Stegostoma tigrinum: one gene and its partners. The protein of the gene in region 3 interacts with the protein of the main gene of each other region in a pairwise test. Links are inferred from orthologs where the notes say so. Each region holds a gene or a part of one and is shown on either strand. Other genes may lie near its edges.

Region 1 (7,428 bases), on a different chromosome or scaffold from region 3:
GGTTAAATTTTACAGCATTATATCAATCAAAGCAAAAGCCAAGTTGAAACACATTCCCATTTTTTTGGGCAAGCATGCATCAGCTGAGGAGATAATTTAATAGTGACCTTTTAAGAAGTAAATCAATGTCTTAAGGACTTACTATCAATCGAATCTTGAGGATTAGAAATCACAAAGTCACTACTTCTCTTGGGTAGCTTGCATCCCACAATTAATGCTTTCTTGGCAAACAACCAGAGTCAAAGCGCCATTTAATACATCAATCACTTGAGATTTGCTTTGCGCACATTGTCCACCTTCCTTGTGCTTTGTTTGTTATTTTAATATTCTCAAAAATAGTTTTGCCTCATTTCAGTTCATCAATTGAGTATCTACGCCTCATGTACAACAGCAGCTTCAGTTATCACAAATATACAATGCAGTAACTTATGACCGTTGCTTTAAACCTCAAAGAGCTTTTATTTCTCCCATCCCCATAAACTCCACATGCAGAGCCAAGCAGCAGCATCAGTTCACCTTAAATTAGATCTTTGTGTATATAAGAGCATTACTTACACTACACCATGCTCTGTGGACAATACATAAAACCTTCTAGAATAATAAATTCTGTTTATCAAGCCGTGATGATCATGCCAACTTTCCAGCCATACAATAACATTTGGATTTTAACATTATGTTGTAAATACATTTGTTTTCCTGTAACCCTAATCCACCATACAACATTAAAAAGTGAAATTTGAAATGAAATACTTGCTATTAAGAAAATGTAGCAGCTCTAACCAACATCTGAAAGAAAAGGTAAACATTCCAAGTTCTAATTAATGACCTGATCCAAAATGGTTAAGTTATTTTCTTCCTTCAGATTAGATTTGTTGATGGGAAATGTTTTGCTACTTCTACTTTACCATGCCCAAAAAAAATGTTTCTATAAAAATGAGCTTACCTGTTTGTGCATCTCAATATTCAATCCATAAGACATTTCATAATACTGTAAAGGAAAAAAAAATGATAAACCAAGTGATAGTGATCTTTTGATGAAACTGAAGAGTGAGTTTTCAGTAGTCTACTCCCCAGGTCAGATTGGATAACGTCACAAACTAATACCACGCTACTTCTAATTTTACAAAATAATTGTTTAAACTCACCATAACATAGTGTCGCTGCATTTCTGTCTTTTCACTTGCCAATTTCTCACATTCCAATTTTAGACTATAAAACACAAAATTTAAAAAAAATCTTTCACAAGATGTAACTGTCGTTACAAGGTCCAGTGCTTGTTACCGATCCCTAACAACCCCGAGAATGTCAACATAGGAACTTCTTGAAGCAACAAGAAAGCATCTTAAATAGAGTACCTACATAAGAGACTGCAGTAATGGCAAAAGCGGAAGTACTGGATAAATCAAAAGGACAACTCGACCCCTTGTAATGGACCGGATATTAAAATTCAACTGTAAACATCAAGATACATAAAGCAAATAAACTCAATTGTTCTAAATGGATAAAGTATTGACTTAAACCGAATTATACGCAATCGAAATCAGCTCATGTAATTTACGATTTTCAACGATGTAATTCATGAGTGTCAAAAAAAACAGTTCAGAGGGTTTAGATCACTCAGGCTCCTGGTTTCCTCAATGTGTGGTTTGTTGCAATCTTTTGAAAGGAAACAAAATCTGGCCGCAGCGAGAGCGCCGCTCTCTGGTGAGGCAAAGTAACCACTGGCTACCTACCGCAGACAAACCAAATAACACTGGAGCCTGGACTAACCAGCAGCAAATAAACATACTTTTCCCCGGCAGAGAATGGGAGACTTCTTTCACCTGTGATACTGAGCCTGTAAAAACTGGAACTCTTCTTTAATACGGTCCAACGATTCGGGGATGGTAAATTTGAAAGGCTGGGCTGCAGCCTGGTGCGGCGTCTGAGAAAACAGTAGGTAAGGAAACAAGAATTACAAGTACACAGAGATAACAGATCGCGAACGAATCAACGCGCAGCCTAGGCAGATTTATATCAGAAACTTTCCGACAGAAGAAAGCGACGAACACAAACACATGACACTGAAAGAGGGCAAGGTCCTCTGACAGAATTAAACACCGGACCTTTTGTTGGTCCAAGTAAGCTCAGTAGAATCAGTGATCTTCCTGCCCAACTTTCAGGGGGACAGTTATTGAGATGACATTGGTTCAAAACATAGTAATGAACTGATGTGCACGCAGATTTTTGGGAACCGGCTAGAAGTAGTTTTCCGCTTACAAAATACATCACACGACACGTTGCTGGTAGTGCAACTATACATTAGTCCGCTGAAGGTGTTTTCCTTTCCTTGAATAAAGATCACACAATGAAGTAACAAAGCGGTTGGCCAGGAGAGCTGCTTTCTCTTTACTTACAGGATGCCTGCTCTGAGGAAACATTGCTTGGGTCCGCCAGAAGCTCAGTTCCGTTGCTCAAACAATCGCTCGATCTTCTTTAAGAAACGCACATTAATAACAATCCCCTCTAAAAGAAAAATAAAGTGTTTACTGCAAGCGCATCCTGGGTTCGGATCCCCAAAAAGGTGGTGTTTTAAGAGGCTTTAAAGCCCTCAGGGAGGCTGGCAGATTCCGCTGTCCCGATTCAACTCCTGTCGATCTTTAGGACAACAAAACCTTTCGGAAAACAGCAATTGCCACTTCTGTAACAAGAACAAATTCCTAAGCCGCCCCAGGAAATCTTCTCGACTTCTCTTTTTTTCGATTGCAGTATATCCAATAGAATAAATATAAAAGGTATACCGTGCGAAGTTTAAGCGGGTATAATTGCTACAGTGGAAAACAATGTAGCAGTTTCCCCCACACAGACTGGTTACATTAACACGCGGTTTCTTCGCTTCCCCCCACCCCCCCTCGAGAGATCGCTCACCAAATTTAGACACGCGCAGTCTGAGGCTACGTTCCGTTCCATTCTACGCCAATCAGGATCCGGAAAGCGACCTCTGTCACACGTGGGGTTATGTCGTCATCACGGAGTGTTGCCCAATGGAAGGTGGTGACCGCAGGAGGCCAGCTGTCAGTCAAGCTGAGCGGAGACTGAACCCAGCAATCGCAAGACGGCCTGCCATTGGACTCTTTTTCCATTGGATACTATTGCACATCAATCACGCTGACGGCTTCGCCCTCAGACCAATTAAGGGCAGTATTGTGTCCGTTTGTCTCTTTCTGATTGGTCTAATTCTTTCACCCCGCCTTCGCATTGCCCCCACCACCCGCGCGGGCTAAACTGAAACGGTTCGAATCAAACGAGTGGCCGTCCGTCAGTCAGTCAGAGAGAGACAATAGGGCGGTGGCGGGCTCAGCTGTCACTCAAAGTAACGTGGGTTCCAAACACTGACAGGGGAAAAAACACAGACAGACGAGCCTTTGTCCCACCCACAACTAAAAGAACCAGAGCAGGAATGTTAACTAATTATAACAATGTAGAGAAGCTTCACATCTCGGTTTTGTTGCAGTGCATTTTGTCGGGCTGTTATGATTGTCGAAAGCAACTTTGAACAAAACGGTTTCCTTGAAGCCAATGTAATCATAATTTTAGGTCTTGTTATATACGAAGCATTAATTAAATAAATTGGAATTTATTTGGTAGGTACTTATGCCGCCCCTCCACATCGCTCCCCGCTCCCCAATTTTTATCAAGATCTACTTCATTTTAAGTCCTAGGTTTGGTAAAAGCGTCAACACATCAACAATGTTAGTGCTGAAATGCACATCAAAGCGGCCCACGTGTGTTTTCATTTCGTTTTACTAGAAAATTGTATCCAGATGTTTAACAGGTATTATATCGGCTTTTCCAGACTTGATTACATAGATTTATTCTGTTTACAGCTCTCCTCGCTTGTTAAGTGACACAAGAAGTATTCACGGTGAACGTTAATTAATTATTGGAAATAGTTATATGTGTTGAGAAACAGATTATATCTATTACAACCACCCCCGCTCTCACCTCCACCAACACCACCCCCACCCAGACTACAATTTGCTCGGGGTCCGGACTAGATTTTTGTTGGGGGAAAGTCTCGTGGTGATATTCTCCAGACAATACCTTCTTTGCACGCAGGACCTCTGTGAGCTGAAACTGTGGTAAATGTAAAGACTCCAGACCACACGCGCGATACCTAAAAGACGCCTTCATTTGTTTCAACTGCTTCATGACAAGAATCTTAGTACAATATAATATTCTTATTCCACTCCTAAGTAACTCATGGTATCGCTCCTGTCAAGGCGTCATGCCATCCGCGAACCCTTTACCAAGGTGTCGTAAAAATGCAGACAATTCCCCGTATTAATAACAAGTTAACTTTTAATATACATACATAGACATCTTACACAGTAATAGGCTATGGAACGATTAAAAAATTAACAATACACTGCACACTGGGAATGAGGACTGAATATTTCAAATGCGAACCAAAAGATCTACGGATTCTAGAATCAGAAACAAAAACAGAAATTGCTGGAAAAGCTCAGCAGGTCCGAAGAAGGATCACCGAACCCGAAGAGTTAATTCTGAGTTTTCTCAACAGACACTGTCAGACCTGATGAGCTCTTCCAGCAATTTTACTCGGTAGGTCTGGTAGCATCTGTGAAGAAAAATCTGAGTTAACGTGTCGGTTCCAGTGACCCTTCCTCAGAACAACTGATGTTTACCATCAATTTCTGTGTTTATATTTCAGATGAATCTGGTTTAGAGGGCAGTGTGCGATTATATGCAGCTGTAAATCAGTTCCCATTTTTAAACCACATATCCAGTCCTTATTTTCACATCATTATATCGGAGTATTCTATAAACAATTCTTGAGTTCAAATATTTCATGCTTTTGTCATGGTACTGTGTTTTTAAAACAATTTCTGTATGGTTACCATGCTGTCACACCATTTCAACTTTGCAATTACAGACAGCTTGTACTGCTAAGGGAAGATTATATATTTAAAAAATCATGCCCTGCTTTTCAAATTGCAAAATTTTAGAACAACTCTGCTAGATAACAACTAAATTTAAAGTAATATATGAAAATATGGTTCAACTTCATGAAACTCAACATTACTCCCTGTCCTTAATTCCTGCTTTACCTTAAAGTGCACTTGAATTTGACTATTTTTGGGATAATTTTCAACTGCCTGCCACAGAAAGGGCAGATGGCAGCAGCTGAAAACATTGAAGATGGTGGGCTGCTGGAGACTGGTGGTTTGGTATGATTGTCAGGTTGGAGTGAGAGAGGGTGAATTTTTTGCAAGGGTTAGGGGTATATATAAGTTTGTCAGAAGTTTCACCTTAACCTGCGCATTAATGCTATAAACTTGCGCATTGCAACTTCAACACAAATGTGTGGATGAGTGGGCTATCAATCCCCTGGAACAGATGTAGGTTGCTAAATATACAAATTAAAATTATAAACAATTTTCCATATATTGCTTAGAGAATCATGCACCAAACCTGGTTAACTAGCAGTTCTCAAATGAATTATTGATGGTTGCTCAATAAACAGTTAAGATAAGCTTGTTTTTTTTACATAAGTCCAAGAGGATCAACAATGCCCCTCTGGTTCTTGAAAAAAATCTCTCACTGCTGGTGTATTTGGTCACTACAACTTCTCGCTACCTTTCTATCCCCCCACTCCCCTTACTGTGCACTCCATTGGACTTCTTCCTGCCTGACTTTCCATCTAGATCAACATTAGATCTGGATAACTTCTAACTCCAAGAACAAACAAGGTGCAATGGGATCTCTCTGGGCATCTGTAGCTGCCTAGCAGTTTGCTAATAAATCCCAAGCCTCCAAAGGCTTAAGTTCACACCAACACAAATGGCAGGTGGAGCAGCTGCACACTTTCCATAATGCAAGAGCCCACACTCATCTCCACCTTCAGTGTGTGCTAAGAATTCTGGGTATTTACAAGTCTCCAAAATGCTAAATTTGCGTAGCATCAAATTCTAAAGACTAAATATGGTCTGATTGCAATCTGGTACATACATTTTTAACTGTGTTTTATCTTCTTACAACTTTTCAAACTTCAATGTTCATTGACCTCACTTAATTCTACTGTCTAATTTTATGTAATTTTTTTCCCAATGATACAGATTTCCTGACTAGAAGTGTGGATCTTTTACAAGATTGCAGTGCTAGAATATTGTTATAATGGAATCAGCTAACAAGGAATCCTATACTAAAACAGTTTTATAGGGCTATAACTCAATAATTATAAACTTGTTGATTTTAGCTAAAGTTCCATTAAACTCATAAAGTATCATCATGACTGATCTATGGCCTAATTCCATAAACCCACCTTTGTCCTGTATCCCTTGAAAAACAAATATCTACTAATCTCGGATTTAAAGCTTACAATTGATCTAGTATTAATTACAGTTTGCAATTCCAAACTTCTATCAACCTTTTTCCTGTGGAAGTGTTTCCTAACTTCTTTTCTTAAAGGTCAGGTTCTAATTTATATTCCCCTGGAACTAGACACCCAGCCAATGAAAAGAATTCATTTTTATTTATCCTACAAGTTCCCCTTAGTACTGTGCAAACTTTTTATCAAATCTCCCTTAAACCTTCTAAACTCAACAGAATACAATTGCAGTTTGTGGAATGCATCCTTGTAACTTATACCTGGATATAGCCAAAGGCTCATTATTTCATTTAAAGGGGAGATAACCAAGACTGGCTCCTCAATGCATTCTAGTGCTCTTGTTACACAGCAGTGTCAAGATTAAAATTTGCTCTTCAATTTCAAGTAGAGCTGATGATTGGGGGAGAACGTATAGATGGAGTGGAGAAGGCAAAAGTGTCAACCATTTGCATAATTCACTGTTCTAGGTGGAGGTATATTTGAATAAAGCACACATCTATCTGGAAATATGACATCAATAGTTTCAAGCAATAACCAAAAACCTTGATTTATATTTGCATCCATTTAGAAAATACTTCACATCAGATAAGCATGCAATTGGAAGCATTATATAGAATAGGATATACTATTTACATAACCCTGCAACTATCTTATTTATCCATCATGCAGCCAATGCAAACACTTCAGCTGTATAATCAAGTAAGTTTCTGATTCAACCCCTCAGTGACATTGTATGCGACACAGCAACACAGAGTAAATTTACATGTTTACTATGTAATCAGAGAAAGCAGTCAAGGTGAAATCTAGTCACTACTAAAGCAGGTCTCTTCAGTGGTTAGAAAGAAGCTGACAAAAAGACTGTTGATCCTTGCATCTTTTTATTATCACAGATGTGAAGATCTACATATTTATATCTGTTATATAGTACAATTAAATCTCACCTGGGAATCACAAGGAAACTATTGTACTGTATTGTGAATTTTAAATCATTTAAATTGTGATTCTTGAATTAAAAATAAACAAGCTTGGTTTATGAT
Region 2 (7,532 bases), on a different chromosome or scaffold from region 3:
CGTATGTGAGTTGGGTAGTATTGTACAGTTCTGCCTTTCAGTATAGGGATGGCAATTCCATTAGATGTGGTTAAACAGCTCTAACTCTACATTGGAGGCCCGATGTGATGAGTATATATAGTGAACACAAGTGCCAATTTGAACTCTGGCATTTTACACAGAGCACCAAAACCATTTCATAAGGGTTAAGGGGAAGTTAGAGAAAACATGACTGCTCACAAAGTGGGCAACAGACAAAGGACTATATTGGCAGTGCTAGAAAATACAAGCAATGCAGCATTTGAAAATTACCACTGGTCTTTTAAAAAGCCATTTCTACTAAGTTAACTTTCCACAAACATTGTAATTCCAGGAGAAAAACCAGACACTCAAATGCAATTCAAAGTTATTTGCAATAGTTATTTATTACATCTTCACTCTCCATGTAGAGCTTGCATCAGTATTGTTCATAGATTTTACACAAACTACACCAGATACCACCAGGGTCTTGTGCCACAAATTTCAATTGTGCAAAAGATTCATTCTCACTCAATGTATTCTTTAAAAAAGTTTTTAAAAATTTACATCATAAATTTTAATTAGCAGCCAAACAAGAATTTTCTCCAGTTGAGCGTCGAAAGTCACTGGAACTTCAGCCGAGTGGAAATATTTCTCATTTCATTGCTGGCTGTGGTGCACAGTTTGTGAAAGATTAGAATTATTTAACGTATCTATTCTGAATAAATACTGGTAACCCACCCAAATAAAATTCTGCTACATCACCAAACGTTTGAATAAAAAAAGTTACTTTTTAAAGGGCGGATTTAGGGAGAGGTGAAGGTAGTATTGGTGATCGTGGTGTACTCAACTTTCCATGCCTGCATGGCCAAGAAAAACGTCACTTAAGACACATCACAGCTACATCAACACTCCGCTTCGTACGGCTTTAAACATTAAAAACTTGTTACGAGGACAAACCAGCACACTTGGAAAAACAAACGTTTCAAAAGAAAAATCGGGAGTTAGATGAGGTATTTGGAAGTCATTCACACGGCCGTTTAACAATCGAGGACCACAGCCCACCCTGGGCATTTAAGTCTAGAACGAACACTAAGCAGGAAAATAAATAAAACAAATATATATAAATAAAAGTTCACTATGGTACATATGGCGATTTTCTTGGCTTTTGAAGCAACATTTTCCATTCCAACTAGCACGCCAACTTAAGGCACGCAACACCCACTAGCGGCAGGTACAGGTCGTAGCGATCATGTCTTCGTACTCTTTGTAAACTATAGAGCCATCGTTTTCCAGGGTTAACACGCTCAGTGGATTATATTTGGCGGGGACACAGGAAGGGCGAGGAACTGAAGAATCCACTTTTTCGTAGAGGATGTTCTGGATCAAAGTGTGCACAGGGGAGCCGTAGCGGTGGCTCAGTGCCCGGGGACAGCTGCCCTTGCAGAAGCGAGGGTTGTAGTTATGCGGTGCAATGATCCAGCGGTCCCACCGGAGCTGGCTAAAAGACAGTCGGAAGTCATGCAGCTGACACTCGTGATCCGGGTACGGGAAAGGCGGAAAGGCAGCGGGAAGCGCCTGCTCACCACCTTGGGGATCTCTGCGGAGTCGGATGGATCTCACGGCCACCTTCCTCCCCTTCCGTCCACCGGAGAGGAGGCTTCTCTGGGCATCCGTCGGCAGCCAACTCCGATGTGACTCTTCGCCGGTGTCGTTGAGGAACAGGAGCAGGGAAGGAGCCGGCAGGCTCGGTCTGAGCCCGCTGCGACCTCCCTGTCTCCGGCAGGCCTCGGTGCACTTATAGGTGAACACCGCGTGTAGCTGCCCCCGGTCGGGGCCGATGAACGGCTGCAGGAAGGAGGAGAGTTCCACCTCCAACCACTGGCGCCTCTTGCGGCGTTCGAAGCGAAGGCGGAAGGTGTATGAATGCGGAGAGCTGGAGCACATCTGAGCATGATCCCCCTCCTGGACGGTGAAGCTGCAGTTACACACAGTCGGAAAGCACGCTGATTTATCGATGGGGTACAGGAACACTGATCGGAGCAATTGCTCCCGCGAGGTCACAGGATCCAAGCCATAAAATACATCCTGTTCAAACGCATCTGCAAAGAAAGGGGAGGAATTGACATGAAACTCAAATGTCAATATGGGACAGGAACCAATGGGTTTTAAAACTAAAGCCCAAAATTGTTTTAAAAGCAAGTTGAATTGCTTTTAAAATGCAAATAACCTCGCAGTTGTAATAGACATTAACAATAACGACTGTAACCACCCCCGCCAAAGCTAAAGCCTAAAATAATTTTAAAAACAAGGTGAATTGAGTTAAAGATGCAAGCAATTTGTTATTGATAGGATTGAAATTAAATTACCTACCAACCCACCCACCCCCAAAAATCAGAGGGCGCAGTTGTAACGTGTTCATAAATTTGGTCCTTTTCAATCTACAACAATCGTAAGAGACGCTGAACATGCTTCTATTCAAGTCTTTTTAACACCAGAATCTTGTAATCAATGGAGTTTAAAAATGTATTTCCCTCCGCTCTTCACAGAAAAAGCAATGTAGAGATTATGTATGAAATAAATAATGATGTTTGAAGAGCAAGTATCTACATTCTAAATTCGATGTTACCTTCCGCGTCACGGAATTCGACCCGGGGTTTCAGCAACCTCACAGTATTATATTGCTGAGCTGCAGGTCTTTTCGGTATTCCATCTTGCGTAGCGCACTTAGTATATAGTCTTTTCATGTATTTTAAATCGGGTTTTGTAGGAATCTGATAGTCCCAGCCGGGCTTTTCCGTTAACACTTTTAGAAGAGGAACCGGGATATAATCCTGGGGATTTGAGGTTACCTCTGGACCGGCAGAGCTGACGGATGTGGTGAGAGAGATACAGCTACTTAACAACGCTAACCAAACACTGTAATGAAGATGCATTATAGCGCCTTTTACACGGCGCATCATTCTCAAAACGAAGATTAAGCCGCCACTAACCCACTCAAAAAAGTTACTCAGCTCAATAGAATTAGAAACAGATGGTCTCTGACCCTTATAAAGAGGCTGTAATCGGAAGGGGGGGGGGTGTAGTGCGGAGAGGGAGTGTGAGTCAATAATCTTATTAAGGCTATTAAGAAACATAATTTAATAATCGGTAAAGTGACGACCCTTATATGACACGCAAGAATACTGAGATTGTGATGAATGTGAATTAAAGATCAACACGGTTTGTCAATCTGGAACAAGACTTGCATTACCAGATTATGAATTAATCAGAAAAAGTGAAGTAACTCGTGATAAAGCTGCCACTTCAAAGTTTCATTTTTAAGACTTTTCAATTATTTATTATGACTTCGCTGCTCCTTATATACCCCCCCTTCCCCCACTTGTTTTGTGACTCCTTTCTTTGCCATTATTGTTTAGTTGTGGGTGTAGGTGATAGTCTTGCATTAGCCGCCTTCACTATTAACGTTAATTCCGATCTCCCACAAGTTTCATTTCACGTCCGTGATTCTAATTCCCAGTCTGCTGTTAATTTTTCCTACCTTTTGCAACCTGTGTAGCTGCTAATATGTCCCACGAGTTGCCTAAAGGGGTTTCCTTAGCAGTAACAGATTTGGATCAGTAAATCGATTTGATTATCGTTTTAGTTACAAATGCGTGGTATTGGAGTGCTCAGAACAAATCGCTTGAAATTTTAATCCTCTCTTCATAGATGTGCCAGGGCTGTTAAGTGCATTATTTTCCGGTTTTATTCACGATTCCCAGCAAATGTATTGGGTTTTTCCTGTCTCCGTACGGCATTAAACATGAGACAGAGTTGAGGAAAAGTAGGTGGTCAGGTTTTATAAACACTTGAATATGCGAAAACACTTTTTGCATTTGTTTTAGATGTTCAAAGTGTATGCTGTGGTTTTAAATGGTCACGTTATACCTGTGTCTTGTTATTTAGGAATGTCTATATAATTTACATGCCTAATATTTACTGTTGAGAAGGTGGTGAGCTGCCTTCTGTCACACTAATGAAGATACTCCTACAGAGTTGTTGTGAGACTGAGGAGGATTTTGATCTGGTGACTTAAGATGAAGGGCAATGTTTTCAAACTGGGATGATTGAGGGCAACTTGTGAGTAGTGGTGCCCCTTTGTGTCTGCTGTCCTTCACCTTCCATTTGCTAAAGCTTGAAACATCTTGTTGAAGACTTCTTGGAAAGTGGCTGTAGTACACCTTGGTTGTTGGCATACACTGTTTGCACCATTGCAATGATGGTGGAATGAGTGAACTTTGAAGGTGCTAGATAGGATACTCTTCTAGCATCCTGCCTTATCCTGGATGTTGAGTTTTGCCACTGTCCTCATTCAGGCAAGTGAGGAGTATGTCATCTTATTCTTGACCTGTGGCTTGTGAATGGTAGATGTGGTTTAGTATGTTAGATCTGTCATCTGCAGAATACCCAGCCTCCTTCCTTCACTGCCAATCACTGCTTATATGGCTAGTTTCAGTTTGGGCTTCTGGTAAATGGGGCCTTTTTTGGTGTTCATGTTAGGAAAAATCCATGATTTGTAATGTTGAGGGAAATGATTGAAAGTGGTCGAAGCTATGCTGTATGTGGGTGTAGGTTGTTTCACTTCTTTAGAAGCTGTGAATGGAATCACTGGGCAATGTCCCACTTTTGACTTCTTGTGATGGAAGGAACAGCTTTGAAAAAGCTGTAGATAGATTAACTTGGGATAATGACCTGAGGAATTGTTGGATGCTCTAGCATCTCAAAAGCAAAATTTTGTGCATTCTGGAGATCTAGAAAAGAATTAAATTGGAAACCACTCTGGTCTGGTAACTCTATATGGAACAAGAAATGATTCATTTTTTAAAGTCAAATGTAAATTATCTTCAGAATGATGAATGGTAGAAATATGATGGAGTATTATGCTCTTTGAAAATAAGAGAGTGTCGGGTGGAGAAACCCATTCCTGACCGACCTTCTGTTTCACCTTTCAGTTTTTTAGATGGTTGCATATTGCATATCTGTTCTCAGAAATTTATATGATGCTTTGTTCTATTTTTAGATGCTAGCAGATTGTAACCTAGTCTACTTTCAGATGCAGAAGTAACATCTTTTTTAGTTGCTCTCATTGTGCATTATTATTTTCAATTTTAAAAAGCTACTGGGAGGTTTTTAAAAAAAAATTAGTCTGCAGTATACAGCATTGAAATGGACCGTTTGGTCCAACTCATCCATTCTGACCAGATATCCTAAATAAATTTAGACCGATTTGGCTCATGTCCTTCTCAACTCTTTGTTTCTACTCTCCCCTAGATGCACTTTAAACTGTTGTAATTGTACCAGCCTGCATCACCTCATCTGGCAGCTCGCTCCACGTGTGCACTACCTTCTCTGTGGAAAAAGGTGCTCCTTCGTCCTTAAATCTCTTCCCCTCTCACCTTAAACGTATGTCTTCTAGTTTTGGAATTGCCCCACGCTGAGGAAATGACCTTTGTCTATTTACCCTATCCATGCCACTCATGATCATTTATAAACCTCTATAAGATCACCGCTCTGCCTCCATCACTCCAGGAAAAATAACCCCAGCCTATTCAGCCTCTTCCTGAAGCTCAAACCCTCCAACCCTGGCAACATATTTGTAAATCTTTTCTAAGCCCTTTTGAGTTTCACATAATCCTTCCTATAGGAGGGAGACCAGAATTGCATGCAGCAATTCATAAGTGGCTGAACCAATGTCTTGTGCAGCTGCAACATGACCTCCCAACCCCTATATGCCATGAGCTGGCCAATAACAAAAGCCTTCTTCATTGTCCTGTCTACCTGCCACAGCCCTCCAAGGTCTCTTTGTTCAGCAACACACTCCAGGACCTTACCATTCAGTGTACACGTCCTGCCCTGATTTGCCTTTCTAAAATGCAGCAGCTCCCATTCATCTAAATTAAACTCCATCTGTCACTCTTCGGGCCATTGGCCATCTGATCAATATCCATCGTACTCTGAGGTAACCTTCGCAGTCCTTAACACCTCCAAATCTTAGTGTCATCTGCAAACTTACTAACAATACTTCCTATATTCGTATCCAAGTAGTAAAATGCAGAAGTAAAGTGTAAATCTGTTGGGTCTGTACTGGAATACTGTTCTGTCATTCTAATTTGACTATACTTTTTGGAAAATATGTTTTTAATATTTGCAGAGGCATAGTGCAGATGCACCTGACAGGGGCACCTTTAGATCAACAGGTTTCTTGAACTTTATTTGAGATCAACTGAATTTGGAAAGTATTGAGCTCACAAAGGAAGCAGATACAGATAAACAGTATACACTATTTGGGGAATCCTGAACAAGGGGTCAGAATCTTAATTTCCCTTTTTAGGAGGTGAAATAATTAAGCACTTTTTTTTAAAACAAGAAGTGGAAGTGAGAAACTCTACCTCAAAGAGCTCATGAAGCTAACTCAATTGAGATTTTTAAGATTGGTTTGAAAGGTTTTGTTTAACAAGGGTATTTGGGGATAAAGTGGGTAAATTGGGTTAAGATGCTGGACTGCAGAAAAGGTTAAGAGACTGAATGACCTTTTTGTGTCCCTCTATTTCCAAACACTTACACATTTGTCTCTGTTTTAAGAGCTCACACATTGTACATTCTGATGAAGGGTCTAGGCCCGAAACGTTAGCTTTTGTGCTCCTCTGATGCTGCTTTGCCTGCTGTGTTCATGCAGCTCCACACTTTGTTATCTTGGATTCTCCAGCATCTGCAGTTCCCATTATCTCTTGTACTTTCTAGTGCTCATTTTACTTTTGTTTTATTTTAATTACTTACATTTGTTGCATATTCTGAATTAGTCCTAATCAAGAATTGTTGAACATGGAAATCAAGACTGACACCCTAATCCAATAATCAAGGAGTGCTGCATTGCCTGAGGTAATCTTTTCAATGAGATTCAAAAGTTGTTGGGAGTAGATGGAAGAGATAGTAGGAACTGCAGATGCTGGAGAATCCGAGAGAACAAAGTGTGGGGCGAGATGAACACAGCAGGCCAAGCAACATCAGAGGAGCAGGAAAGCTGACGTTTCAGGCCTACACCCTTCCAAAATGTCAGCTTTCCTGCTCCTGGGAGTAGATGGAAAGTAGTTTTTAAGCCATAAACACATTAACTATGATTTTTTGGAAAATGGTGAAGTAAGTAGCCTGAATGGTCTAGCCATGCTCTTAATTTGTATACTAAATTGAGGCCCATATACTCCAAAGGGAATGTAAAAGATCCTATGGCATCGGCTGAAAAGAAGGTTTTGTTTTGGGGGTTGGATGCATTATTTCCCAGTGTCCAGAATGTTATTTATCGCCTAGCTGTCGATCTATAAAATTAAAACTTTATCCAGCTGCAATCACCATTCTGTTCATGGGAACTTTGTGCATAAATTGTCTTCTGTGTTGCTTGCATTGCAACAGTAATTGTACTTATTGACTGTAAAGCATCTGGTGGTTGTGATAAATGAATACATGATTTTATGAATCAATAATTTTATCATGACATT
Region 3 (7,767 bases):
TGAAGGCGTAGAAGGATGGGTTAGTAAATTTGCAGACGACAATAAGGTCGGTGGAGTTCTGGATAGTGACGAAGGATGCTGTAGGTTGCAGAGAGACATAGATAAGCTGCAGAGCTGGGCTGAGAGGTGGCAAATGGAGTTTAATGCAGACAAGTGTGAGGTGATGCACTTTGGTAGAAGTAACCAGAAGGCAAAGTACTGGGCTAATGGTAAGATTCTTGGTAGTGTAGATGAGCAGAGCGATCTCGGTGTCCATGTACACAGATCCTTGAAAGTTGCCCCCCAGGTTGACAGGGCTGTTAAGAAGGCATACAGTGTTTTAGCTTTTATTAATAGAGGGATCGAGTTCTGGAACCAAGAAGTTATGGTGAAGCTGTACAAAACTCTGGTGCGGCCGCAGTTGGAGTATTGTGTACAGTTCTGGTCACCGCATTATAAGAAGGATGTGGAAGCTTTGGAAAGGGTGCAGAGGAGATTTACTAGGATGTTGCCTGGTATGGAGGGAAGGTCTTACGAGGAAAGGCTGAGGGACTTGAGGCTGTTTTCATTAGAGAGAAGAAGGTTGAGAGGTGACTTAATTGAAACATAAAATAATCAGAGGGTTAGATAGGGTGGATAGGGAGAGCCTTTTTCCTAGGATGGTGACGGCGAGCACGAGGGGGCATAGTTTTAAATTGAGGGGTGAAAGATATAGGACAGATGTCAGAGGTAGTTTCTTTACTCAGAGAGTAGTAAGGGAATGGAACGCTTTGCCTGCAACGGTAGTAGATTCACCAACTTTAGGTACATTTAAGTCATCATTGGACAAGCATATGGACGTACATGGAATAGTGTAGGTTAGATAGGCTTGAGATCGGTATGACAGGTCAGCACAACATCGAGGACCGAAGGGCCTGTACTGTGCTGTAATGTTCTATGTTCTATGTCTATGTTCTATGTATTTCTACCCAGCTCAATTGTGATGCTCATACTTATCTTGGCCTGCTTAGCCCAGACAGGCAATTGCACATCTAACATACTTGCCAATTCAATTACTTTGGCTTTTATGGTCTCTTTTAGATCTCTTCATCTGAGATGCCTCTTCTATTTGCTGGAAAGGTTTTGCAGATTCTACTGTCATCTTACTTTTTAAATGCAAAACCTGGTGTATATCCTTCTCCTTTACACTAACTCCACATTCAATCTTGTCTTGTCTTTGCGCCAAAATCCCAGCAAAAGAGACCCCAAACCTTGTCAGGATTCACTGTGGCATTGTGCTGGAAATCAAGCCCCACTACCTATTGAGTGTGTCAGGACTTGATGCCAGTAGTGAATACAGCAGGGCACTGATGTACATCATGAATGGTGCAGCCAATGTTGTCCCATTGTTTAATAATTACAGGCCTGCGAGCCTCATGTTGGTAATAGGGAGATTATTGGAAAAGATTCTCAGGGACCACATCTATATGCATTTAGAAGAAAATTGACTTATTAGAGGTAGACAACTTCACGTTGGTGGTAAGGAAATTATTGGAAAAAGATTCTCAGGAACAAGATCTATATGTATTTAGAAGCAAATTGAATTATTAGCAATAGACAGCATTGTTTTGTGGGAGGGGAGGTCGTGCCTCACTATCTTGATCAAGTTTTCATGAGGAGGTGACGAAGGTGAATGATAAGGGAGAAATGGTTGATGTTGTGTAAGTTGATGATGTTCAGTAAAACCTTTGACAAGGTCCCTCATGGCAGAATGGTTCAAAAGTTGAAGTCACGTGGTATCCAGATGAGCTGGCAAGATGGATACAGAACCAGATTAGTCATAGGAGACGGGGGGGTAGGTTGATTTTCAGAATGAAGAGTTGTGACTAATGGTATTCCACAGAGATCAGTGATGGGACCTCTGTTGTTTGTGATCTACGTAAATGATTTGGAAGAAACCATGATAGAAGTTTATAAGATAATAAAATGTGAGGCTGGATGAACACAGCAGGCCAAGCAGCATCTCAGGAGCACAAAAGCTGACGTTTCGGGCCTAGACCCTTCATCAGAGAGGGGGATGGGGGGAGGGAACTGGAATAAATAGGGAGAGAGGGGGAGGCGGGCCGAAGATGGAGAGTAAAGAAGATAGGTGGAGAAGGTGTGGGTGGGGAGGTAGGGAGGGGATAGGTCAGTCCAGGGAAGACGGACAGGTCAAGGAGGTGGGATGAGGTTAGTAGGTAGCTGGGGGTGCGGCTTGGGGTGGGAGGAAGGGATGGGTGAGAGGAAGAACTGGTTAGGGAGGCAGAGACAGGTTGGACTGGTTTTGGGATGCAGTGGGTGGGGGGGAAGAGCTGGGCTGGTTGTGTGGTGCAGTGGGGGGAGGGGATGAACTGGGCTGGTTTAGGGACCCATCCCAGGCCCCAAGGTGACATTCCACATTAAGCAGAGGTTCACCTGCACATCTGCCAATGTGGTATACTGCATCCACTGTACCCGGTGCGGCTTTCTCTACATTGGGGAAACCAAGCGGAGGCTTGGGGACCGCTTTGCAGAACACCTCCGCTCAGTTCGCAACAAACAACTGCACCTCCCAGTCGCAAACCATTTCCACTCCCCCTCCCATTCTCTTGATGACATGTCCATCATGGGCCTCCTGCACTGCCACAATGATGCCACCCGAAGGTTGCAGGAACAGCAACTCATATTCCGCCTGGGAACCCTGCAGCCATATGGTATCAATGTGGACTTCACCAGTTTCAAAATCTCCCCTTCCCCTACTGCATCCCTAAACCAGCCCAGTTCATCCCCTCCCCCCACTGCACCACACAACCAGCCCAGCTCTTCCCCCCCCCACCCACTGCATCCCAAAACCAGTCCAACCTGTCTCTGCCTCCCTAACCGGTTCTTCCTCTCACCCATCCCTTCCTCCCACCCCAAGCCGCACCCCCAGCTACCTACTAACCTCATCCCACCTCCTTGACCTGTCCGTCTTCCCTGGACTGACCTATCCCCTCCCTACCTCCCCACCCACACCTTCTCCACCTATCTTCTTTACTCTCCATCTTCGGCCCGCCTCCCCCTCTCTCCCTATTTATTCCAGTTCCCTCCCCCCATCCCCCTCTCTGATGAAGGGTCTAGGCCCGAAACGTCAGCTTTTGTGCTCCTGAGATGCTGCTTGGCCTGCTGTGTTCATCCAGCCTCACATTTTATTATCTTGGAATCTCCAGCATCTGCAGTTCCCATTATCTCTGATAGAAGTTTATAAGATTGTGAATGGCATTGACAGAGTGGGAATTTTGAGGCTTTTTCTCAGGGTGGAGAGGTTAATAACTAGGGGACAGTCATTTAGGGTGTAGAGAGGAGGCCAAAGTTTAAAAGTGATGTGCAAGGCAATTTTTTTCACACAAAGAACAATGAGTGCCTGGAACACACTGCCAGAGGCGGTGGAAGCAGACACAATGGCAACATTCAAGATGCACCTGGATGAATACATGAACAGGAAGGGAATAGAGGCAAGTGGATCGTGTAACTGAATGTGAGGCTGGATGAACACAGCAGGCCAAGCAGCATCTCAGGAGCACAAAAGCTGACGTTTCGGGCCTAGACCCTTCATCAGAGAGGGGGATGGGGGGAGGGAACTGGAATAAATAGGGAGAGAGGGGGAGGCGGACCGAAGATGGAGAGTAAAGAAGATAGGTGGAGAGGGTGTAGGTGGGGAGGTAGGGAGGGGATAGGTCAGTCCAGGGAAGACGGACAGGTCAAGGAGGTGGGATGAGGTTAGTAGGTAGCTGGGGGTGCGGCTTGGGGTGGGAGGAAGGGATGGGTGAGAGGAAGAACCGGTTAGGGAGGCAGAGACAGGTTGGACTGGTTTTGGGATGCAGTGGGTGGGGGGGAAGAGCTGGGCTGGTTGTGTGGTGCAGTGGGGGAAGGGGAGATTTTGAAACTGGTGAAGTCCACATTGATACCATATGGCTGCAGGGTTCCCAGGCGGAATATGAGTATGGACTTCACCAGTTTCAAAATCTCCCCTTCCCCCACTGCATCCCTAAACCAGCCCAGTTCATCCCCTCCCCCCACTGCACCACACAACCAGCCCAGCTCTTCCCCCCCACCCACTGCATCCCAAAACCAGTCCAACCTGTCTCTGCCTCCCTAACCGGTTCTTCCTCTCACCCATCCCTTCCTCCCACCCCAAGCCGCACCCCCAGCTACCTACTAACCTCATCCCACCTCCTTGACCTGTCCGTCTTCCCTGGACTGACCTATCCCCTCCCTACCTCCCCACCTACACCCTCTCCACCTATCTTCTTTACTCTCCATCTTCGGTCCGCCTCCCCCTCTCTCCCTATTTATTCCAGTTCCCTCCCCCCATCCCCCTCTCTGATGAAGGGTCTAGGCCCGAAACGTCAGCTTTTGTGCTCCTGAGATGCTGCTTGGCCTGCTGTGTTCATCCAGCCTCACATTTTATTATCTTGGAATCTCCAGCATCTGCAGTTCCCATTATCTCTCGTGTAACTGAAGACACTTTTAGTACAGAAGGGCAAAATGAGTCAGCACGCACCTGCTCCTGTGCTGTATTGTTCTTTGTGTAGATTATTGTGTTTAATTTGAGGACAACATGTTTCAATTGTTCTGATATGATGACCTTCACTTTGGGAAATCCTGCTATCTTAAAAATGTATTTCTTCCAATCTCATAGGTGCCTGTAGTTTTTTGGTGTTTCACAAATCAGCTAGTGTCACTGAAAGAGGTCTATTGGCTGGCTCGGCCCACGTGACAACAAATTGTCACTTTCATCTCTTGACGTAATTTTGGCGGGGGTATTAAATTTGAAAACGCTTTGCCCTTTTCTGCTGTTTCTCTCTGCGCTCAGAATCTTTCATCACTCTGTTATATTTCGCTTTTTATTCTTTTTCCTGGGCATCTATTTTGTTTTGTTTCCGCTCCACAATCTTTATTTCTATTTATATCAGCTGGTGTTTGTATAACTGTTTATATTTTACTTTCTGATACAATGGACTGTTCCTACACCCCAGAAATCCCAGTTTCATCTCCGCGTAAAGTGAAGGGTCAGATTCAGGTAAGGGGGATAAAAATGCACACTGTTGATTCTTCAGAATAATCGAGGACACTGTTTTTAAAACAAAGCTTGACCAGAATCTCCTAGAAGAGATACCCAGCATTGTAGAGATTGTTTGAGATATTTTTATTTCACTCAATGAATCTGTGATAAATATGCAGAAATTGACCCATGTTAAACTTGGTGTGGGTCTGATTTTAAGACAGTATTTCTGCAATCGTTTTGATTTTTTTTTCGTTTTTGATCCCACTTCCTGTATCTCGCCAAAGGCGCCACTATCATCAGAGAATTGATCTTAAGGATGTTTCCTTTCTTTTTGCAATTTACAGATCATCTTCGGACCGATGTTCTCAGGGAAAAGGTAACAGATATAACGTTGCATTTGTTTTTCAAATAAGACTTTCAGATAGAAAGGTTCTGCCTGGTCGCTGAGGCTGTGAATTTGTTGGTGACCTCCTTGCTACTTGGCGCGAAGTGTTTTGTTTCCGGCCAACTGTGTTCCGCAAACCGGCCTCTGCTTTTATTCCACAGTTTCATTCCCGCTTCTACCAGGGCCAAGACACCAAAGTGTCCTGGATTTTAATCCACACTTTATTTCTCTCTGCTGGTCATCCAGCACTGGGATATATCTCCGCGATTCCTCTCCTCCGAATGGTGTATCATTCTGTAATATCTGCTTGGAAACGTTTCAAATCTGTTTCGATTGCTACAAATCTCTCAATGTTCCATCTGCCCTGATGTGTTATCTCCCAGTTTGAGAAACGTTCAACACTTTTTTTTGGACGTTCTTTCCAGTTATTAACTGAGGAGTCAATAACAACAGTAACTCGCGTTTATATAGAGCCTTATCGTCCCAAGGACCTTTTACTGAACATTTTGAAATAAGATCTGACACCCCAGTAGGGTTTCAGAACAAGTGACCATGAACATTATTTTGTCAAATATGTTTTGGGGAGTGTCTGAAAGGAGAAAAGAGAATTTAAGAGGTTTTGGGGAGGGAATTTCGTTTCTTGGGGCAAATCTGCACCTGAATTCAGTTGTGACACCGAGAATGCAATTTTTTTTTTGCTTCAGCTGCTCACAGTAACCAGGGAGAGGGATCGAGTCAGTGGCAAGGCAATGGAGTTTACAGCTGGGAGTGAAGATTTTGGTTTTCCTTAACACTTCTCAGCTCATTTAGTACTGGGTATCAGGTGATTTAGAGCCGTGGGCCTCACATTTTCCCAGTGACATAACTTCCAAACTTCGATTTTTGCTGTTGCAATTCAAGAAAACTTCCATGGCGACTTGCACTGCCTTTAGCTTAGTTGTTTATTGCGAACCGAGCGGAGGTGTTCTGCAAAGCGGTCCCTAAGCCTCCACTTGGTTTCCCCAATGTAGAGGAAGCCACACCGGGTACAGTGGATGCAGTATACCACATTGGCAGATGTGCAGGTGAACCTCTGCTTAATGTGGAAAGTCATCTTGGGGCCTGGGATAGGGGTGAGGGTTCGCAATAAACAACTGCACCTCCCAGTCGCAAACCATTTCCACTCCCCCTCCCATTCTTTAGATGACATGTCCATCATGGGCCTCCTGCAGTGCCACAATGATGCCACCCGAAGGTTGCAGGAACAGCAACTCATGTTCCGCTTGGGAACCCTGCAGCCCAATGGTATCAATGTGGACTTCACCAGCTTCAAAATCTCCCCTTCCCCCACCGCATCCCAAAACCAGCCCAGTTCGTCCCCTCCCCCCACTGCACCACACAACCAGCCCAGCTCTTCCCCTCCACCCACTGCATCCCAAAACCAGTCCAACCTGTCTCTGCCTCCCTAACCTGTTCTTCCTCCCACCCCAAGCCGCACCTCCATCTCCTACCTACTAACCTCATCCCACCTCCTTGACCTGTCCGTCTTCCCTGGACTGACCTATCCCCTCCCTACCTCCCCACCTATACTCTCCTCTCCACCTATCTTCTTTACTCTCCATCTTCGGTCCGCCTCCCCCTCTCTCCCTATTTATTCCAGAACCCTCACCCCATCCCCTTCTCTGATGAAGGGTCTAGGCCCGAAACGTCAGCTTTGGTGCTCCTGAGATGCTGCTGGACCTGCTGTGTTCATCCAGCCTCACATTTTATTATCTTGGATAGCAGTGAGGATGCTTTGTAGGATACCAATGTCACAGGCCTGTCAAGAAGAATGGGAAGGAATAGTTTGCCTTTTGTCAGAGCCACTTAGCACTTCACTTTGAGATTTCAATAAGAGCTGTCTTGATGCAATGGCAGGGGCTGAAACCTGATTTGGAGGGCTTCTAAGAGCCCTGAATTCCTGGAAAAATGGGTTGGAAATTGTTCAAGAACTTTGGAGAAAAATGGGACATTAGATATGGAATATCTATCGCCATTCACAGCACCATTCTGGGTATAAAGGGTACAACAAACTTAGCTGCAAAATAGTGAAAGAAACTAGATTTAAAAAGTCAAGCATTACTTTCATAGAATTATTAGAAAAGTAGAGAAATGAAGTGAGCATCTGCAGACACTTATCTCAGTGGCTTCAGCTCAGGGAAATGTCTGTGGAATCTTTTCTGAATTAGTCTAACACCTCATTGGAAAGTCAGTACCTCCAACAGTACAGCAATTTCTCAGTATCTTACTGGGATGTCCGCTTAGAATGTGTTCAACCCACCACCATCTGACTGAGGTGGAAATTTACACAAATGACCTAAGACTGTCATTTGACTGTAGT
Region 4 (7,190 bases), on a different chromosome or scaffold from region 3:
AGTCTTGTGGCTCAGTAGTACTGTCTCTACTCTCGGCCAGGAGTTCTGGATTCAAGAACCATTTGCCCAGGGATATACCATAACATGTCCAAACAGGTTGATTAAAATTGACAAACGCTCTTTGAATGGAAAGTGTGATAGAGAATGGCAATTCCTGTCTGGGACCTCTGTTTCCAATTAACTGCAGTGTTTTGGGATGGGACTCTGCACTCTTGGGAACTACTGAGAATGTCAGTTTCCAGAAGCCACCAAACGACCAAGGAGATGGAAAACAGGCAGGATCAACTAACATTGCTTTTCTAATTTTGGTTGGAATGGCTGCGAGCTGAGAGATTCGGGCAGAATCTGAATCCAGCACTGACAGCCCTTACAGAACCACACCAATACAGAATCCCTCACAGTTCAGGACAATATCAGTCTAAGTGGGAGTACATGGATTCCGATAAATAAATTCCAAGCAATAGAGCTGAATATTCCCATTTAAAATTTAGTTATTGGGAGCCTCTGGTTTACCATTTGTGAGCAACTACATGCCATGTATCTAAGCTTAGGGCAAAAGACCCACATCAGGATTAAAGAGCTCTCTGCTGGGTTCTTGAGTTACAAATCACAGCTGACAACAGAAAAAAGAAACACAATTAATGCATGAATCTATACAAAGAAATCAAAAAGTCTTTAACTCGAAAATCAAAGGATTAAAACAAAGCTGTAAATCAGAAGGTCAGGCCCAGTGTTAGCAAAGATGAAGCATACAGCTTTTCCAAACTTTTCTAAATAATTACCATATCATTAACCATGCAGTTTTGATCTCCTTTTCTGACGAAAGACACTCTTGCTCTCGAGGGAGTGCAGCAAAGGTTTGCCAGGCTGATACCGGGGCTGGCGAGTCTGATGTATGCGGAGAGATTGACTAGGTTGGGAATATTTTCACTAGCTTTCAGCTGAATGAGGGGGGATCTCACAGAGACTTACAAAATTCTAACAGGGCAGGACAAGGTAGATGCGCAGGGAGGATGTTCCTGGTGGCGGGTGTGTTCAGAACCAGGGGTCACAGTACAAGGAAATGAGGAGGCATTTCCTCATCCAAAGAGTGGACAGCCTGTGGAATTCATTACCACAGGAAGTCACTGATGCCAAAACTCTGAATATATTCAAGAAGCGACTAGATATAGCACTTGGGCAAATGGGATCAGAGATTATGGGGAGAAAGCAGGTCGGGCTAATGAGGTGAACGATCAGCCAAGACTGTGAAGAATGGCAGAGCAGGGTCGAGGGGACAAATGGCCTCCTCCTGCTCCTATCTTCTATGTTTTTATCAATGTATCTGGCACAAAAGATGAACTGGACACAAATCCTATGGTTTGTATCTAACTTCATACAATCATTGGATGGAAAGGCAATGACCATGCTTTCCCAATGTATGTAATGCCTCTTCATTCCTCAAAGGCAGGGTTGGTACCTGATGCCTCGTTTTTAAGAAATTTGTTGCAACTTTATCTACTCAAGGTACTGGAACTATTTCTTCAAGGAAAAATGCAACTTACATCGCGGGTGAAGCCATCACAAAATAATGTAACATTTGAAAAATAATACTTGTTAGGTGACATCACAGTACAGACAGTTTGAACTTCCTTTAGAGTGTTCCAACTGGCAGTTGGGGGTAGGAACTAACACTTTTTGTTAAATGTCATTTATTGGGAGAGACTTACTCTCACTCTCGGTTTTAAAGTGTGACTGGTTTTGGGAGCAGCTCCCCCAGCTCAGCCGCTGGGATACTGCTGGCCCCTGTGGACACTCACTGTGAACAAGTAATTGAGTTGATTGCCCAGAAGCAGTTAAAGGAGGTAAATTCTGCCTGACACACTCACCTTTCCCATTGGCCTCTGCTTCATTTGCCTGGATCCAGGCTTTCCAATAGGCTTATGCCACCCATTGGCTCCATCCTTGCCCTTTCAAATTGTGAAATGTGTGTTCTCACCACCTCCTGTACCGTCTATCAGGTCTCAGCCTCTGAAGGTTTTGGGTACCAGAAGAACCTCAGATACTCTGTGTCTACATCCCTACTCTCACCTTCCACACACAATCTCGTGAAGGACCGCCTCTACTCTCCACCACACCGGTACCTGGCTAAGGAGAGTATTGAGCTCTGAAACTCTGTACCCCTGCCTCTGTGGGCGCCTGGCTCTGGACTGAGGGGGTTCTGAGCCCCTCTTCCCCAGCTCTGGCTCCCCGACTTTGGGGACACTTGCAGCTCAATTCCTGCCTCCCTCCAGCTCTCGGTCTTGCCGCGGCAGTGTTTTTTCAGCTGTCCATTTTAAGAGGCTGTACTCACTCTGGGTGATCTTCTGCAGACCCAGCACGTCCTCGGGGGTCACACACTCCTTCTTCAGCAGCTCCTCCTCGGTGGTGGCCGGAAGCCCTTCACTCGGCGGCGCCTTCTTCACCTTCATGCCGACCGCGTCCTGGTTCTTGGTGTTGCTGCTCAGGGCTTTGGTGCCAGAAAAGCTCATGTCTCTCCGGCTCCCTGCCCGGAGCCGAAGCTCTTGGTGCTGCCGCCGCAGGATCCGCTCTTTACCTGGAGCGGAAATCAAACCGTTACAATGTATCCAGTGCGGACTGCACCACCCACACGCAAGGGACACACACAATCACCCACCACTCCAAATAGACTCTTCCTCACTCCTTCCTCCCCCGCAAACAGCCCATTCATAAAATTACACAACATCAATAACTGAGGGGGATGGGATTTACCCCTCAAGCATCCAAACCTCTCAGTGTTACCCTGTTCTCTCTCATCGAATCCCTCTCCTTTCTGAAGGAATGGTACAATCCGTTCGCAATACCTGAGCAGTAAATTCGTTGATACACGTTTCTATTGCATTTATGTTTTAAAATATCAGCATGGGCTGCAGTTTTGAATATATAATAAACAAAGGGCGGAGCGTTGCGAGGATAGCAACTATTAGGATGTAAGACCATGCATTTCTGACAGCTTAATCTCGGGCCCCCCGGTCTCTCTTAAACCAGAGCTCCCACTACCGGGCACTAGCCGGTGTGTGCTAGAAAGCACCTGCGTACTGTACATGGCAAAGGCCAGTCTCCAGCCTTACATGTATAAACTGCACCTCAACCAAAACTCAGCCATCAGCATCTCACTTCGGTCGCACCAAGTGCTGATCACCACCCTCTGCTCGCTGACCTACTCTGGCTCCTGGTCCAGACACCCTCAGATTTTAAGATGAAGGTCGCTAACGCTCTGAAATTTTAAAAGAAAACACAAAAAAAAACACTGGCAGGGTCTGGACAGAAATCGAGTTAACGTTTCCAATCTCAATGTGACAAAGTGTGCAGCTGGATGACCACATCCAGCTGCACATTGTGTTATCTTGGATTCTCCAGCATCTGCAATTCCCATTTTCACTGATACAATCTCAATGTGACTCTTATTTGGAACAGGAAGCATTAATCTCGAAGAGGAGTCAAACTGGATGTGAACCGCCCCTCACTCCACAGATACAGTCGGACCTGATATCTCATTCCTGGACTACTGAATCCACATCTGTGTTCTCAAATCTCTTTTCATTTCCATCTCTTTCTTCCTCCAGCTCTAACCTGTAAGAACATACCAGGATCTTCCAATCCCGGTCTCTCTAATTTTAATCACTCCATCACCGATGGCCGTGCTGTCAGCTTCCCAGGCCCCAAGCTCTAGCATGCCCTCACTAAACCCCTATGCTGTCTTGAAGATGTTTAAGACCTGCTTCTCTGACTGGCAGTCTGGCTCCCCCTGCGTCTGTGTCAAATTCTGTCAGATAACACACTGGGAATGCCCTCGGATGTTACTGGTGCAGTGTGAATGAATTTGGACCAGTCAGCTTGTGCTCCTGGGAGGCTGCTGGGCCTGCTGTGTTCATCCAGCCTCATATTTTATTACCGAGTTTCTGAGTTGCCTGTTTCTCACAGACAATGGCTGTTCCAGAAACCTAGGTAAGAAAGACCACTTGTCTGATTCAACAGTCATTGCGGCAGCCCAGCAAAGTGCAGCACAAAGAACATGAAAATGCTCAAAAGATGTAGCAGTCACCCACAGCAGCAAGTCTTCAGTCTTAACGGTTCTCTGTATCATTGAAACCAGGTTTCTGTACCCGAGGGAGTGGACTGCTTTTTGTGCCACAGCTCTGCTTATTTTTAAATATTCCCTCGAAGGTTTTGGTACAAACATGTTGTCTTTTCAGAAGCCCTGCAGTAACGGGTTCATGGTGTAGTGGCCGATGGCAATGACCACTAGTGGTCATTGTTACTATCCAGCTCTTGGACCATGGCCGAAGGGCCTGATTCCACACTGTAGGTTACTTAATCTGCATACCTGGGATGAGAGAGTCTGGCAGCATCCAGGGTGACTGGGCAGTACTGTCCACCCTTTGAGAGGAAGGGGTTTGAAAATGTACCTGAAATATTGCCGACCCTGTCAACATTTTGCCAGTCTGCTGCAGCTGGCAGATCATCCAGAAAGCAGTTGAATAATGTCAAAATCAAAGAAAATAAAACAATTTATCACTGAAGCTTGGAATTTGCAAACTACTAGACAGATGACACAATACTGCCTGAACGGAGAACTCCTGGTTATCGCACTTAAACTTCTTGCAACTATCCCATCAAAATTACAGCACTCCATGAGACAACGCTTGCTGATGAGGATCACTAAAAGAAGACGGACATGTCTATACTTTTCTTCTGGAACAGGAAAGTGAGTAGCAAGAAAAGGATAGATGGTGAAGGTTTCATCATCAGGTCATCCCCAATGTAAGACACTTACACACTTCCTTCAAAATCAACAAGCACCCCATGCAGCTGCACTTCCCGCTGGAGTAAACATATCAAGTGACCATCATCAGTACCTATACACCAAATCTCAGCAGCCCTGAGAACATGACACAATAAATTGGAGGATCTGGATCAGTCCTGTCTACATCTGTTAGTAATAAGCTCATTCTCCTGGGAGACCAATGCCTATGTGGTGAAATTCAGCAATAACTGGAAAGGAGTTCAGGGAGATACAGGGTTTCCTGTATTTCCACTTTCCTGTTCCAGAAGAAAAGTATAGACATGTCCATCTTCCTTTAGTGATCCTCATCAGCAAGCGTTGTCTCATGGAGTGCTGTAATTTTGATGGGATAGTTGCGAGAAGTTTAAGTGCGATAAATGTAACAGCAACCCATCAATACTGAGCAAAGTGTCCTCAGCACATACGCTGTATTAACAACACAATGTTCAGACAAGTTGATAAGGTCAAAACACATGATCAACTGTATCACTGTGTGTCAGAGAGATCGCCAGGATGTACAGAATGGTAGACTGATCACAGACCTATGAGTGCAATAGTCAACTTGCAAATTGTTCCAACTCAGTACAGCTGACCAAAAGCCATCAGAGATCCTTCAGTATGGCTGAATTCAGTAAAACGGCTTGCTGCAACAAAATTGGTCAAAAGCTCATGCTGGCACACACTTCTATGGAGATTGTGTTGAGAAACGCACTAATTTAAATACATCATCAGTGAAAACAGCAAACATTTCTCAGACCAAATAGCTAAAGTGCATCAGGAGTTGGTTTGATGAAAATGAGGAAACATCTTTCAAATCCTGCAGGTCAAAAATACAGCACATCTGTAGTAGCAGAGTAATCCAAGAGACCAGTTCTGACACCTGAAAAGCAATGTCCAGAGAGAGCTGCATTCTTCCAAAGTATAATAATGGAATGGGAAGAATTACAATAAACAGACTTCTACAACTCAAAAAAGTTATTCAGCTCTATTCAATCTTGATATGGACAGGCTCCACATCATTACGGTAAGATAACAATCAAAATTCAGACAGATCCGAGACATAAATGAATGGAACAGTTCAGCAGGCTGATGAACATACCAACTACTGACATTTTCATCTTTTGGGCATTTAGCAAATTCCCTTTGGAAAGCTATGATTGAATCCACCCACCCTTTCTGTAGTCTATAGCTACTTCCTGCAGCGTATTCCAGTTCATACTCAACTACAACGTAGAAATGCTTTTCTTCATACCACCTTTGCACATTTGTCACTCGCTTTAAAACAACACTATTCTCATTACAACAACCAGAATAACTCACGTCAGATTTGTATGTTTCAGTGTAGGCCAGGTCGGAGAGTAGTTATGTAGCATGTCTTGCTTATCTGGGTAATAAGCACTAGAAAAAGTCTAAGATATAAAAGGTAATATCTGGTTTAACAGCCTGGTTGTTAGAATTAGGAGTAGGTTATTCAGCCCCTCAAGCCTGTTCTATCAATCACTGATGATCAGAAATGATCTATCTTTGTTCAAATATCTATTCATATGCTTTGCTATCAAAAAATATGTATCCATCTCAATCCTGAAGAGCTGCTTTCATAGAAACATTTGTGTTAAAACATTATCCAGGTTGTGGGATCTCAGTTTCACTCAGCTGCTGGTTGTCCAGGTTATATTGACTGAATAAGAAGATGCTATATCATGTTATTGGTGTTAAATGTAGTCTGGCACTCATGCAGTTCTGAGAAGGTGCTGCGTTGTCAGGTAAGATGCAGTTTGGACAAACTGGTACACTGCTGCCCTGTGTGGATATTAAAAATTCTACGGCACGGTTCAAAGTGTCCTTACCCATAATCATTCCTAAACTAAATCAATTCTCACCTGATTGCCATATGTTATTGCTCAGCTAAACACCCCCTTCTCCGATCAGAAACTGAGGCTACTTTTGTATCCCTCTCAATACTGTGGCATTTGGTTCTTATACATTGAACCCAGGATATTTGTCATCAACTCATAACAATATGGCACTTTCACCCAATGTCTTTGGCCATGGTAACATAGCTCCTAGTCAAAATCAGAACAAGGTGCCTACTCCCAAGGATCAGCAGCAAAGAAGTGAATTAGGCTTCTGGGTAATGATGGAGTGATCGCTCATTCCTCCCTCCACTCTGCTTCATTCTAATTTTTCTCTCCTTATTAACCTTTTAATCAATCTGTGCTTTTTAAAATATATTATGTCAATTCTTTGGATCTGCACCATTTTCAGTTTGATACCGTCTTTAATCTTCCTACTAAACCACAGATGGTGCATTTTCCCCTTGGAATTTTTATTTCTCACTAAAATGTACGATGATCACGTCAGTAAA

What was found.
Region 1: the proteins of tk1 (region 3) and transducin-like enhancer protein 1 interact in a two-hybrid assay, tested with the Homo sapiens proteins (2 studies listed by BioGRID and IntAct). The link is inferred for Stegostoma tigrinum from reciprocal best matches to the Homo sapiens genes TK1 and TLE1.
Region 2: the proteins of tk1 (region 3) and gdf9 interact in a two-hybrid assay, tested with the Homo sapiens proteins (2 studies listed by BioGRID and IntAct). The link is inferred for Stegostoma tigrinum from reciprocal best matches to the Homo sapiens genes TK1 and GDF9.
Region 4: the proteins of tk1 (region 3) and unc119a interact in a two-hybrid assay, tested with the Homo sapiens proteins (2 studies listed by BioGRID and IntAct). The link is inferred for Stegostoma tigrinum from reciprocal best matches to the Homo sapiens genes TK1 and UNC119.

The regions. Positions count from the first base shown.
Region 1 is NC_081356.1:61,834,580-61,842,007, reverse strand, and holds the start of transducin-like enhancer protein 1, read right to left. Parts: upstream 3,015-7,428; 5' UTR 2,908-3,014; intron 2,879-2,907; exon of another isoform or gene 2,506-2,878; 5' UTR 2,421-2,505; coding exon 2,397-2,420; intron 1,925-2,396; coding exon 1,824-1,924; intron 1,210-1,823; coding exon 1,146-1,209; intron 989-1,145; coding exon 944-988; intron 1-943. UniProt on the Homo sapiens protein: Transcriptional corepressor that binds to a number of transcription factors. Inhibits NF-kappa-B-regulated gene expression. Inhibits the transcriptional activation mediated by FOXA2, and by CTNNB1 and TCF family members in Wnt signaling.
Region 2 is NC_081366.1:23,291,563-23,299,094, forward strand, and holds gdf9 (growth/differentiation factor 9), read right to left. Parts: upstream 3,007-7,532; 5' UTR 2,961-3,006; coding exon 2,627-2,960; intron 2,100-2,626; coding exon 1,222-2,099; 3' UTR 386-1,221; downstream 1-385. UniProt on the Homo sapiens protein: Required for ovarian folliculogenesis. Promotes primordial follicle development. Stimulates granulosa cell proliferation. Promotes cell transition from G0/G1 to S and G2/M phases, through an increase of CCND1 and CCNE1 expression, and RB1 phosphorylation.
Region 3 is NC_081375.1:15,188,053-15,195,819, reverse strand, and holds the start of tk1 (thymidine kinase, cytosolic), read left to right. Parts: upstream 1-4,762; 5' UTR 4,763-4,972; coding exon 4,973-5,038; intron 5,039-5,367; coding exon 5,368-5,399; intron 5,400-7,767. UniProt on the Homo sapiens protein: Cell-cycle-regulated enzyme of importance in nucleotide metabolism. Catalyzes the first enzymatic step in the salvage pathway converting thymidine into thymidine monophosphate.
Region 4 is NC_081380.1:47,276,147-47,283,336, reverse strand, and holds the start of unc119a (protein unc-119 homolog A), read right to left. Parts: upstream 3,004-7,190; 5' UTR 2,980-3,003; coding exon 2,844-2,979; intron 2,812-2,843; exon of another isoform or gene 2,797-2,811; coding exon of another isoform or gene 2,769-2,796; intron 2,576-2,768; coding exon 2,333-2,575; intron 1-2,332. UniProt on the Homo sapiens protein: Involved in synaptic functions in photoreceptor cells, the signal transduction in immune cells as a Src family kinase activator, endosome recycling, the uptake of bacteria and endocytosis, protein trafficking in sensory neurons and as lipid-binding chaperone with specificity for a diverse subset of myristoylated proteins.